2 linked regions of the Lepisosteus oculatus genome follow. The protein of the gene in region 2 interacts with the protein of the main gene of each other region in a biochemical or structural test. Links are inferred from orthologs where the notes say so. Each region holds a gene or a part of one and is shown on either strand. Other genes may lie near its edges.

Region 1 (7,475 bases), on a different chromosome or scaffold from region 2:
TGTGGCTCAGAACCCAGCCAACATCTCCAAGTACCAGAGCAATCCCAAGATCATGGCCCTCATCACTAAACTGTCTGCCAAGTTTGGGGGGGCTCAGCCCTAAAGCTGGGGGTGGGGGTATAGGGTGGAAGTGGGTGTTGGGGGGGGCAGGGCAGGTGAGGATTAGTGAATGACAGAAAGCACACTGTGCGCAGCTGTGGCTGTTGGGGTGGAGGGGGCGATCTGCCCTGCCAGGACACCTTTCTCTCTACGCAAGGCCCTGATGAAGTCTGTATCCAGAACCTCAAAGAGCTGGGAGCATCCCACCTGCCCCCTTCTCCTTCAGGGGAGGATGTTAAAACGGGGGGGCTATCAAGAACTGCAGAAGTCCAACTAAGGGCAGGTTTTGCCAATACCTGAAGCACCCACTCAGGAGATAAGATCCAGAGGCAACTAGCACTGTCCAGGGCACCCCAGGGAATATTTAACTGCCCCCTTAGTGGGCGATGTTTGTTGGTGTATCCAGGTGTGCAAACCCAAGGTTTAACTTGCAGCTTTCCTATTTACTTCTCTACTTCAAGATTTTTTTTTTAATTGTTAAAGCAAAGGACAGCTCTCTGAAATGGAGAAGAGCACTAAATATCTAGCTTTTGTGTTGGGAATTAAATGAATTAAATCAAATCTAAAAAAAAATAAAGACATGAAAATGTTTTTTCTGGAGTCATTTGGAGTGTTTTTTTGTGTAACCTTGATCTTCAGGAGCTTTTAAATCATCAGCCCATACTACGGCAGGGGCTGTGTTCAGTTCACACAACTGACTAGACAGCCCTGCTGCAGACACACTGACTGACCCCCCAGGACCAGGACTGGGGCAGAGGCAACTGGTCACATGACCCAAGCTCCACCCCACAGTATCAGTCACACGGCCTCAGAACACACAGCTATGGGGGGGGGGGGGGGGGCGATATGCAAATCCATTTAAGCAAAAGAAAAGTGGTACAGCACTATCTTTGTTTCCTATTTAGCTCACACAATGTATATATTGGACAGCAGGTTAAACCCCACTGGTGTAGAAAGAGGTTCACCTGGCTCCAGGGCAGTGGAAGTGCAGCAGACTAGTTGCACTCTCAGTTAGATTTCACCCACGATCACAGCATTCCTGCATCACAGAACGCACTTTTACATCTCCCATTGTTCCTACTTTGCCCTCTCCCTCAATCCTGGTCCTGGTGACCCCCACACCTGCTCGGTTCCATTCCACCCCCCCAAATTAGACAATCAAAGCCCGTCTTCTTTGGAATATTTGCATTGTGGTTGTAGTCACAAGTTTGGGGTTTAATTTCACGTTAAACAAACACGCCGGTTAGAGCTTGACCGCATTGATGAGCCGCGAACAAACAGTTCAGGATACGGCAACAAAGCCTCTGACTGGGTCTGGAAGAAGAACGGGCAGGTGTGTGGGTCACCAGAACCAGCACCGGGAACCACTGCTCCACCCATCCAAAAAAAAAAAAACAGACAACAGGAAGCCTCCTTACATTGAACACAGAGGTTTATTTATAATTTACAAACGGACCGTGAACGTGTTTTTTTTAAAAAAAAAACTCAGACTATTTCATGCCAGCTCATGGGGAGACGCAGTCGAGAGAGAGAGTGCACCCCACACAACAGCTGGGGCCAGGCCCGGGGCCAGTGCCCGCGTGCAGAGGGGAGGAGAGGAGGAGGAGGGAGGGGCTGTACGCCAGCGACCTGTAGCGTAGCCACTGCCCAGTCCACTGTCCTTCACCCTAGTGTCCGTACCTGCAAGGGCAAGGAAAGCACAAATCAATCATTACACCAGGTAACAGCACCACCCACCCACCCACCCGCCCGCCCTGCCAGAGGGAACAGGATATTGCACACCAGACGATCCCGATTCCAGCACACAGGTGCACACACGCTACACACCTCTCGTCCTGGCAGACACGGACTGCACACCTGCTCTACAAACTGCGCGCCCCGCAAGCGTACAGCTCGCCTTTACCAGAACGCGATTCGCGAGACGCGAATGAATATTAATCAGCTCTTGGTTCGATCGCAGTGCCGCAGGAGAGCGTGCTACCTCGAATAATCAATAACCGTTAGACCGAGCTCGGTCCCGTCTCTGGGAGCACTGTGACTGGACAAACAGCTCATCAACATTCCACAATTCATCCCGAGTGTTGCTCTTCACGCCCAGGCTAGCCAGGAAGGGCGTTCATTCACAAAACAGACCTCCTCTATATATACACACCCCCCCCCCCCAGCCTAAAAACTCCATCCTGGTGCCAAAGCATATTTTAAACTATTTTAGTATGAGCAGGAAGGAGAGAGCCCTGTTCTGTTCTTTGTGTGTTCTGGACTGTGAGTAACTCTTCTTGGTGCCCTTCTCACTGTACTGATTGTACTGTATTATTATTATTGTATCATTCGTTACACTGTTTCTGTGTTAAGCTGCTGTTGCACTGCAGTTTCCCTCACGGGATCAATAAAGTATCTGTCTATCCAGGCAGGGATGCCCGGCAGGGGATCCTGTCTATCCTGGCAGGACACTCCAGGGGAGCTACTCACTTCTGGAACTCCCACTCCCGGTTGTCCAGGGGGCAGACCTGTCGCGTCTTCAGCCAGCGCGAGATGCAGTGGAAGTGGAAGGCGTGCTGCGGGAGAGCAAGGGGAGAGGAGGGGCGGTCAGCTTGGGGGTCTTTCCGAGAGGTCGGTCGAGCAGGGGGGGGGGGAGGGGGGCTCAGGTTCCAGATACCGGGGGCAGCTCTGGCTCCTGTTTCCACTCATCTCCACACCCCCCTTTCCAGACAGGGGGGTTCAGACAAGCGGCACGGATTACAGGAGGGGGGCGGGGCGTTTGCGGGTTCGCCCCCACGCCCGTAGGGGAACCCCCCTCGCGGCTACTCTGTTCGTTCACACGGCGCCAGTGCCACCCGTGTGCCCCTCTGAGGGGCTAGACAGGGCGAAAACCGGCTGTCTGGGAGAGCCCAGCGTGGCGGTGGCGTCTGTGCGGATGAGGCCCAGAGGAGGTCGAGGGAGGGAGGGAGGGAGAGCGCTCAGTCTTACATTGCAGACGCCCCAGGCCACAGTGCACTCCTCAGACGTAGCAGAAGCCTGGTTGGCCTGACATTCAATACCTGCAGAGAGAGAGAGAGAGAAAAACACAGCAGCGTGTTACCCTGTGAGCTTCAGAGGCACCTTAGGACTGGCACCTGAGTAAGACACCAGCGTCTGGATCTCATGTCTGTACACTCATACTGTGTCAGTGCATCAGTACAGTATAATTCATGTCTGTACACTCATACTGTGTCAGTGCATCAGTACAGTATAATTCATGTCTGTACACTCATACTGTGACAGTGCATTCACACAGCTCTGGGCTGTCAGTGTATTGGAGTCAGTATAATTAGTCTCAACACTCTAACCATGCCTGTACAGTCACACAGCTCTGCGCTGTCAGTGCATCAGTGTCAGAACAGTATAATTCATGTCTGTGCACTCTTACTGTGTCCTTGCATTCACACAGCTCTGCGCTGTCAGTGTTTTGCAGTCAGTACAGTAGAACTCCCATTTACTCACACAGGTCCATGATGTGGTTCCTGCAGATGGCACAGTTGTCCACCACGATATCCCAGGCCCACAGCGCTACTGCATTCCACTAGCAGCGGGGGGAAAGACAGAACACTTCACTTACTGACAGTGCATGCACCAACCTGGCTGACCCTGACCGGCCACCCGCTCGAGATGTGTCCACCCGCTCGTGTTCTCTGCCTGCATGTTGTTATTGCGACATTCGTGAGTCTCGCCCGGCCTCACATCGGGAGGGCCGAGTAATCCGGCAGAGCGGCGCTACTGGGCGCTGTTGTTGTTGTTGTTGTTGTTATTATTCATTAATTAATTATTATTTATTAAAAGGGGCATCTGGTGCTGTAAACCGTGTCCGAGGTGCTGAAAAGTGTATTGCTTTTTTCCCTCCCGACCAGCTTTGTCGGCGCTTGAGAAAAGAAACAGCTTCGTCATTCAAAAAAAGCGAGGAGAACTGAACCGGCTGAAACACGAATACACACTTGTTATTCTCAAAAAGCAGGCGCCCGACAAAAATAGTTTAAGCTGGCGCCCTCAGAAAAGCCTACGGAAATAAATCCGTAAGCCCATTAGCCATCGTTAGCTAACCACGCAAAAACACCGCAAAGCGTCCAGTATTACTCCCCAAACACCTGTATGTTACAACCGATTAACAACAGTCATCAACTTAATCTCTCTCCGTCCCTCCGTCCTTAATTTTTCCTCCTCGAATTACTCAAAGTACCTTTTTCACTTCGAAACGCTTCTTGCTGGCTCCGCTGTTGGTCCCGCTCGGGGCGTCCACATCCATCGCTGCCGCCATCTTGTCTCTGGGAACCCTGGCTCTTGAGCGCCTGCGCTGGCCGTCGCTTCCGGCGGCGAGCTGTGACATCACGGTCCCCATAACAACAGGGCCTGCGGTTCCACACGAAGCCTGACTTTGTACCTGCAGCCTGCCGGCCCGCCGCAGAAGGACGCGTTTGCGATGGTCCAGTGTTTTGCCCCCGACTGCAACCATCACAGCGAAAGAGAAACCTGCAAATTCTTCCGTTTCCCCAAGGATCTGAGGCAGTTCCGAGTTTGGCAAGAGCGATGCAGGTTGGCACGCCGTTTTGCGGGATAAACAGTTAAAAAGTGACATATGGCAGGTGTCTTCGTTTCACCAGTATGCCTCTGAAAAACCTGCAGCCTGTTTTGCGTCAGAGTATCGAGCTATTGAGTGACAGACCAAACCCCTGCCTGTTTTGACAGAAGGCTTTAGGTTGTCTGGTTGTAGTTTCTGTGAGCTTCTCTAAACGTGAAATGTGTCGTTCAGGAACAATAGGATGGCGATTCTTTGCCTTACAAGTCCTGTTCCTGTCCTGTCCCCCCACAAACACACAGAGAGGCCCTCTAGAGGCACCTGAACTGAGGGTCAGGCCAACCAGCCGGTCTTTTCTTCCAGGCGGCAGGACAAAGACCCGAGCGTCTTCTCCAGGCTCTGCAGCTGCCACTTCGCGGAGGGGAAGAAGGACAGGGGCCCGTCCATCTTCAAGACCCGGGCCACCGGCCCGCGGGCCTGGACGCCGCAGAAGAAGAGGAGGAACCGGTAAGCATCCTGCGAGAGGCAGGAGGGGGTGGCGTTCTCCCAGGGAGCCAGGCAGGACCATGGGGCACCGGATCTGGCCAGGACACTGGGGTTACACTCCTGCTCTTGTCGAGAGACGCCCTGGGATTTTTAATGACCACAGAGAGTCAGGACCTCAGTTTTATGTCTCATCCAAAGGACGGTGCCTTTTTACAGTATAGTGTCCCCGTCACTATACTGGGGCATCAGGACCCACACAGACCGCAGGGTGAGCGCCCCCTGCTGGCCCCACTCACACCTCTCCCAGCAGCAGCCTCAATTGACCCCAGGAGTCTCCCCTCCAGGTACTGGCCAGGCTCACCCTGCTGGGCTCCAGTGGGGCTGCCGGCTGGGAGCTGCAGGGTGGTGGAGCTGCTGGCCGTATCACTAGTGGGATAAAAGTGAAGAGGATTCCATTCTCCCGCCTGCAGGGCCCCCGGTGCTGAGCCTGCAGGGCCTGTGGTGCCGCTGGACGCGCCCAAGCAGCCCGAGCCTCTGCTGTTCCAGCCGGCGTCCCCTCTTGGCCCGGAAGGCGGCGCTCCGGGTCCCACTGGCGAAGAGGGTGGCGGGGAAGAGGAGCCCGGAGTCCCAGGAGGGGTCCTGCATCTGTCCCCTCCCTCCCGAGGTGAGGTCAGGGCCCGGGGAGATCGGGGGCGACATGAGGACAGTCACAGAGGAGAAGAGGCCGTAACTGATGGCTCTACTTTTTCAGTAACTAACAGATCTGTCTGCCATAAATAACCGGACACCTCTTGGCAAAAGCCAGGGTATCAAAACCATGGCAGGGAAGCTTGTTCCCCACTCCCGCCCTTTGCGTAAAGTAGCCCCCCCGTCCCGATTAGAGGATCGAATCCAACCGTTTTGGGGAATTAACTGTGCTTCACACCTTAACTTTTACCATAAATTGTCCACAATTTTAAACTTAAGGCCTGTGTTTTTGCTTTTATTGCAACAGTTTGATTGGAATTTGCTACAGTAATGTAAGCTTGAGCATTGAGCCTTCTCGTTATTAATTTTTTTACAGCGTGTAAGAACATGTGGGCTGTGTTCCTGCTAGTGACTTGCCGGTTCTGGTGAATCACAGATGCCGACTGTTTATTGCTCAGTTTATTCATCCATTCGGGACGTGTTAGACTGGGCCTGAACCCAGGGTGTCGGTCAGCACACGGGATGCGATGGAAGCCGCTGTGCCTTGTGTTCTCCGCAGCTCCAGCGCCGCCCAGCTGGCTGCCGGCTGCAGCAGACGGCTCCGCGTCGCAGGCGAGTGTGGAGAGGCATGTGGGCTCCCCTCAGGACCCCATCGCAGAGCTGCAGGTAGGTGATACTGCTGCTGTTACTGTCACTGATACTACTGTTACTGCTACTAATACTTCCACTGACACTGCCCCTGCTGTCACTAATACTACCACTGATACTACTGTTACTGCTACTAATACTACCACTGACACTGCCCCTGCTGGCACTGATACTACCACTGACACTGCCCCTGCTGTCACTGATACTACTGTTACTGCTACTAATACTACCACTGACACTGCCCCTGCTGGCACTGATACTACCACTGATACTACTGTTACTGCTACTAATACTACCACTGACACTGCCCCTGCTGGCACTGATACTACCACTGATACTACTGTTACTGCTACTAATACTACCACTGACACTGCCCCTGCTGGCACTGATACTACCACTGATACTACTGTTACTGCTACTAATACTACCACTGACACTGCCCCTGCTGGCACTGATACTACCACTGATACTACTGTTACTGCTACTAATACTACCACTGACACTGCCCCTGCTGTCACTGATACTACCACTGATACTACTGTTACTGCTACTAATACTACCACTGACACTGCCCCTGCTGTCACTGATACTACCACTGATACTACTGTTACTGCTACTAATACTACCACTGACACTGCCCCTGCTGTCACTGATACTACCACTGATACTACTGTTACTGCTACTAATACTACCACTGACACTGCCCCTGCTGTCACTGATACTACCACTGATACTACTGTTACTGCTACTAATACTACCACTGACACTGCCCCTGCTGGCACTGATACTACCACTGATACTACTGTTACTGCTACTAATACTACCACTGACACTGCCCCTGCTGTCACTGATACTACCACTGATACTACTGTTACTGCTACTAATACTACCACTGACACTGCCCCTGCTGTCACTGATACTACCACTGATACTACTGTTAATGTTACTTATACTACCACTGACACGACTACTATTACCACTATTATTTTTTTCTTGAAAAAAAAAGTCA
Region 2 (5,732 bases):
ATCGTACAGAAAAATCTGTAACTCAACTGCATATTAAAGAGCAGGGGGTTTTCTTCGTACTTCATGTATTTGATAATCGATTCGGTGTATCTGTGAGGATCACGGGGCAGTTTTGTGCGGGGAGAAAACACAAGTGCGAGCGGGCTGTGCGGAGCGGAGCTGCAGCAGCAGCAGCGGTTGAGTCTCCACGGTTCTCATGCGGCCTTGAAGTTCCGCCTGCGCGCGGAGCCGCAGACAGTCCGACAGCAGACAGAGACGCAGCGATGGCAGAAGAAGTCGCTCCGGCCCCCGCCGCCGCGCCGGCCAAGGCGCCCAAGAAGAAGAGCGCCGCCAAGCCCAAGAAAGCGGGCCCCAGCGTGGGAGAGCTCATCCTGCAGGCCGTGTCCGCCTCCAAGGAGCGGAGCGGCGTGTCCCTGGCCGCCCTGAAGAAGTCCCTGGCGGCCGGCGGCTACGACGTGGAGAAGAACAACTCCCGCGTCAAGCTGGCCATCAAGAGCCTGGTGACCAAGGGCACCCTGGTGCAGACCAAGGGCACCGGCGCCTCGGGCTCCTTCAAGCTCAACAAGAAGCAGGCGGAGACCAAGCCCAAGCCCGTGAAGAAAGCCGCCGCCGCCGCCAAAGCCAAGAAGCCGGCGGCCAAGAAACCCGCAGCGGCTAAGAAGCCAGCGGCCGCCAAGAAGTCGCCCAAGAAGGCGGCGACCAAGAAGCCAGCGGCCGCCAAGAAGTCGCCCAAGAAAGCCGCGAAGCCCGCAGCGGCCAAGAAGGCGACCAAGAGCCCCAAGAAGGCCAAGAAGCCAGCGGCGCCTAAGAAGGCAAAGAGCCCGAAGAAAGCCAAGGCAGCGAAGCCCAAGGTGGCCAAACCCAAGACGGCCAAAGCTAAGAAAGCGGCTCCCAAGAAGAAGTGAGCGATCGACCCTCGAGTTAATTTCCTACAAACCCAAAGGCTCTTCTAAGAGCCACCAGCCCTTCCGAGAGAGAGCGCAGACTTTCCCTTTTCACCGCTTGAAAGCGCCGGTTCGCTCTATAGGGGGGGAGACATAATTATTTTACACAAGGAGAGGGACTGGGTTGTAGTTTTTCAAAATGATACTGAAATGCGATGCTGGGTAAAATGTACAAATGTAAATATTCTAAATACTATTGTAGAGAGTGGGTGCGCAGAGGAGGTGTAGAATTAAAAGGCTTTTTTGTTAAACGTTCTGATCTCCATTGAACAGCGTTGTGACTCCTTGCATCTCTTCATTTAATGAATTTAGTTGAGGTGAAATGTTACACTGTTACATGGCACGGAGGTTTTCATTAGTGTGTGACTGCTAGTCTCGCAGCTATAGCGGGCATGTGAAAAGACGTAACGTGACAGATGTATCACTCTAATAGCGACAATGGTGACTTTTCAATATCGAGCCCTCGGAGGCGGGTGATCCAGATTCTTATGGGAGTGGAGCTTAATTCCACTCAAGGTAGCGTGGTTACTGAGTCAGACGGTGGTGAAATTCACTAAAATATACATTTTGTAAAGCATAAAAAATGACCGTTTAAGCGAAGTGTTTTGCACATGAACTGTTGTAGTTTTGCTATTCGCCTGTTGTTCTGCACATGGCCTGTTGTCTCTGTTTCTTATGCAACTTTATTGTTGTTTTTTTACCACTTAACGTCTGAGAGCTAGCTAAATAGCATTTCACAATTACATATACCTGTGTATGAGAATAACGATAATAAGCTTGAAATTGAAAAACACATATTTGTCCTCGCTCGGCAGCAGAGCCGCGCTCTGTGTTCAGAGTCCGAATTTCCCTCCTGCCTGTTGATTGGTGGAGACCGAGAGCGCTGATTGGCAACACTGATCTCTGATTGGGTGGAGAGCTTGTTCCGGTCCATCCAATCAAATTCAGCCGCGAGTCTTCAAAAGCGGGGTGGCAGACAGTTTGTGACCAGTATTGTCAGACTTCTTCGGACAAGCTAGATAGTACTAGATGAGCGGCAGAGGAAAGACCGGCGGTAAGGCCAGAGCCAAGGCCAAGACTCGCTCTTCCAGGGCCGGATTGCAGTTCCCTGTGGGCCGTGTCCACCGGCTGCTGCGCAAGGGAAACTATGCCGAGCGGGTCGGCGCCGGAGCCCCGGTGTATCTGGCCGCGGTGCTGGAGTACCTGACCGCCGAGATCCTGGAGCTGGCTGGCAACGCCGCCCGGGACAACAAGAAGACCCGCATCATCCCCCGGCACCTGCAGCTGGCCGTCCGCAACGACGAGGAGCTGAACAAGCTGCTGGGCGGCGTGACCATCGCGCAGGGCGGCGTGCTGCCCAACATCCAGGCGGTGCTGCTGCCCAAGAAGACCGAGAAGCCGGCCAAGAGCAAGTAAACAGCGCGGCAGAGACCTCCGACTGACCCCGAACACAAAGGCTCTTTTAAGAGCCACCCACAGCCTCTTGAAAAGAGCGAGTTTTGTTTACTTGTGTAACTTCAGCGTTTACACGGTTTTACTAACATATTTCAGTGGTGAAGCAACGTGATCCAGAATCTGCTGTATGGAAGAGCGGTTTGTTGCGCTCGCAATACAGTTCATAACATTTCTATATTCGCTTCGTTTTTAACCTTTTAATTACAAACCAAAGAGGTATTCCTTATTGTACTTGTAATTGGATTAATAAAATTCGTATTATTATTATATTAGTCTTTCAAGTGGTCTTGTCCCTCAGCACAACGCTCTCCTCCCGAGTCACACTTTTTACACTAGAAATTATATTAGTTAACGTTATTATAGTAGTATTATACTATGTCACTATTCTTGTCCTATAGTATAGCTAAAACAGTCATCAAAATCCTTGCCACTTTATAGGTATCAAGGTATTAAAACGCCTGAACTTGCTTTTAGTTTATAAATGAAGGAAAATCGATCTTTCTGTGTCTCTTATTAAACCGAGAGACCTGGAGCCGTTAAACCCGCGAGGAGTGTAGGAGCTGCGCGCTCGGTTTCAAACCGTCCAATCAGAGTTACACCCTCCTCCCCCCTGTGCCTTTCAACCAATCAGGACGGGGCTGTCTGCGCATATAAACCCGAGTGCGGGAAGTGGTTCTCAGTACACTGTTGACTGTGAAGAGCAGCGAGGAAGATGGCGAGAACCAAGCAGACCGCTCGCAAGTCCACCGGCGGCAAGGCGCCCAGGAAGCAGCTGGCCACCAAGGCTGCCCGAAAGAGCGCCCCCGCCACCGGCGGCGTGAAGAAGCCCCACCGCTACAGGCCCGGCACCGTGGCTCTGCGGGAGATCCGCCGCTACCAGAAGTCCACCGAGCTGCTGATCCGCAAGCTGCCCTTCCAGCGCCTGGTGAGAGAGATCGCCCAGGACTTCAAGACCGACCTGCGCTTCCAGAGCTCCGCCGTCATGGCTCTGCAGGAGGCCAGCGAGGCTTACCTGGTGGGGCTCTTCGAGGACACCAACCTGTGCGCCATCCACGCCAAGAGGGTGACCATCATGCCCAAAGACATCCAGCTGGCCCGCCGCATCCGCGGGGAGCGCGCTTAGACACGGACCGCCTGCTGCAGCATCTTTTCCCTTGAACACAAAGGCTCTTTTAAGAGCCGCCACAATACTCGAGAGGGTTATATTATTCCATTATAGTCTGTACGAGGCACAATTCTCGTTTGGTTAGCTGATAAGTGAAATCCCTACCGGGAAGCGGTTTTCTACCAACTCGTGTAAAAGCCCCCCTGCACTGCTGCAGTACACCAGCGACACACGTCTCCCCTTTTGCTCTAAATTCGTTTTTCAGCATTCATATCCACATTTGAAAGTGTTCAAATGCAATTAATGCCCCCCCCTAGAGAAGATTCTTCTTTCCGGCATTCAAGCACCTCGGTTTAGAAGGTGCTTAAACACGAATTACGGATTTATTCCTACAGTGATTAAAGTCTTAGTACAGTTCATAATCCATACACCGTAGTATGTTGTATTTTCTGTTCCGTATGGGGCGTTTTGGTTCAGAAAAGAGCACCTCACATGTGCAATGGATTCTGAATTTGATATCGTTCTTCCTAGATACGTGGGTTCGGTATTGACACATTTCTTAATGCTGTCGGTATGGTATGGGTTTAGGTTTCTTTTGCTCTACAGTTTTATCCTGTAAGTCAAAAACGTGCTGCAGCACCGATTATCCTGTATTGCTAGCGCTCGATAAGACTGGGCTTTTCTCGAGTCCAGGTTCAAGCATTCAAACCACGTGGGGAGAATTTGCACAATCCTACAATGCCGTTGGTTAGGGAAGTAATCATGACAATTTCGAAGTGTAGCCTGTTTAAAGTTGCTGTGGTGGAGAGCTCTCCGGCAGGGAAGAGGTTCCTGTGCAGTCTGGGCTGCTGCTGCAGTCGGAGAAGAGGCGGGCTCGTGTGTCAGCGCGCCTCCTGTCTCAAGCAGGTCCGCTCTCAGGCTTGAAAAGAGAAGCGCCGCGGCTGCAGCCCAGCAGTGTGTGTCGTGTCACTAACTGATAACTAGAAGATGTCTGGAAGAGGCAAAGGCGGAAAGGGACTCGGGAAAGGAGGCGCTAAGCGTCACCGCAAGGTTCTCCGCGACAACATCCAGGGAATCACCAAGCCCGCCATCCGCCGCCTGGCTCGCCGTGGGGGAGTGAAGCGGATCTCCGGGCTGATCTACGAGGAAACCCGCGGGGTGCTGAAGGTGTTCCTGGAGAACGTCATCCGCGACGCCGTCACCTACACCGAGCACGCCAAGAGGAAGACCGTCACCGCCATGGACGTGGTGTACGCGCTGAAGCGCCAGGGCCGCACCCTGTACGGCTTCGGCGGCTAAACAGGAGCGGAGCTTCACTGCCGGACTGGACCCCGACGTATCAACCCAAAGGCTCTTTTAAGAGCCACCCACATTATCAAAGTAGAGCTGAAATCTAAACTATCACTTTTGGTGTTTTTTTTTAACCAAACAAGCAAGCAACATTTTGCGATTGCTGTGATGATTCCTAAATTGAGATGCAGAGCTTATCAATCGTTACATTAGTGTAGATCAGGTTGCTAATGAAATAGGTTATTGCTGAAAGCGTTTTGATGGAGTGGTAGTTCTTATTCTCATTACTACTAATTCTAATTAGGTCATGAGTAAAGAATGAAGCTCACTTCCTTAATATTTTTATTTTTCACGCATGCTTCATGGCTTTTAAGAAAGAGCCGTTATCCCATCGGGCCGTTTCTAACCCTCCCCGCCCCGACAGGAAGCGGCTCAGCTTGGCTTGAAATCCACTTCATTCGCCAAAAGCTAGTCTCCTACATGCTATTTTGTAGAAAGGTTCAGTGTTTAGTTTTATTGTGCTCAGACTAATTTGAAACCAATGCTGAAGCTCAAAAGTGTGTGATAAAATGCTGTTGGTTGTTCCAAAGTGCTTTTAAAGTTGTCTAGAATATCACAAAAACTGTGCTTTTGACTCCAAGTTTGCACAAATCGCACGGTTTACGCCGAGCACAGTTTTCTAGGGTAGGAGACATAAGCGTAATGAGAGTCGGATTTCAGAAAATGTGCACGTAGTAGTAAATTGCTATTACAGAATGGGGTTCAACTTCTAAATGTTTTTTATTCTTCATGCTGGGTTTGTCTTTTTAAGAAAGAACTTGTGATATCGGGCCGTTTCTAACCCTCCCCGCCCCGACAGGAAGCTGCTCAGCTCTTTGTTCGCTCAGACTCGGCGAGAGGTCGAGACAAAGACGCCCGAAGCGCTTGAAAGCCATTTG

The links. The genes of interacting proteins can lie anywhere in the genome.
Region 1: the proteins of histone H4 (region 2) and l3mbtl2 interact in a test that uses a peptide from one of them, tested with the Homo sapiens proteins (2 studies listed by BioGRID). The link is inferred for Lepisosteus oculatus from reciprocal best matches to the Homo sapiens genes H4C1 and L3MBTL2.

Annotation. Positions count from the first base shown.
Region 1 is NC_090707.1:38,079,973-38,087,447, forward strand, and holds the start of l3mbtl2 (lethal(3)malignant brain tumor-like protein 2), read left to right. Parts: upstream 1-4,452; 5' UTR 4,453-4,549; coding exon 4,550-4,662; intron 4,663-5,008; coding exon 5,009-5,152; intron 5,153-5,601; coding exon 5,602-5,795; intron 5,796-6,377; coding exon 6,378-6,484; intron 6,485-7,475. Other genes in the region: st13 (hsc70-interacting protein), read left to right, coding at 1-103; E3 ubiquitin-protein ligase RBX1, read right to left, coding at 1,767-1,779, 2,569-2,654, 3,067-3,137, 3,580-3,658, 4,310-4,387. UniProt on the Homo sapiens protein: Putative Polycomb group (PcG) protein. PcG proteins maintain the transcriptionally repressive state of genes, probably via a modification of chromatin, rendering it heritably changed in its expressibility.
Region 2 is NC_090718.1:2,208,693-2,214,424, forward strand, and holds histone H4, read left to right. Parts: upstream 1-4,425; 5' UTR 4,426-4,491; coding exon 4,492-4,803; 3' UTR 4,804-5,193; downstream 5,194-5,732. Other genes in the region: histone H1-like, read left to right, coding at 264-905; uncharacterized protein, read left to right, coding at 1,974-2,356; histone H3, read left to right, coding at 3,112-3,522. UniProt on the Homo sapiens protein: Core component of nucleosome. Nucleosomes wrap and compact DNA into chromatin, limiting DNA accessibility to the cellular machineries which require DNA as a template.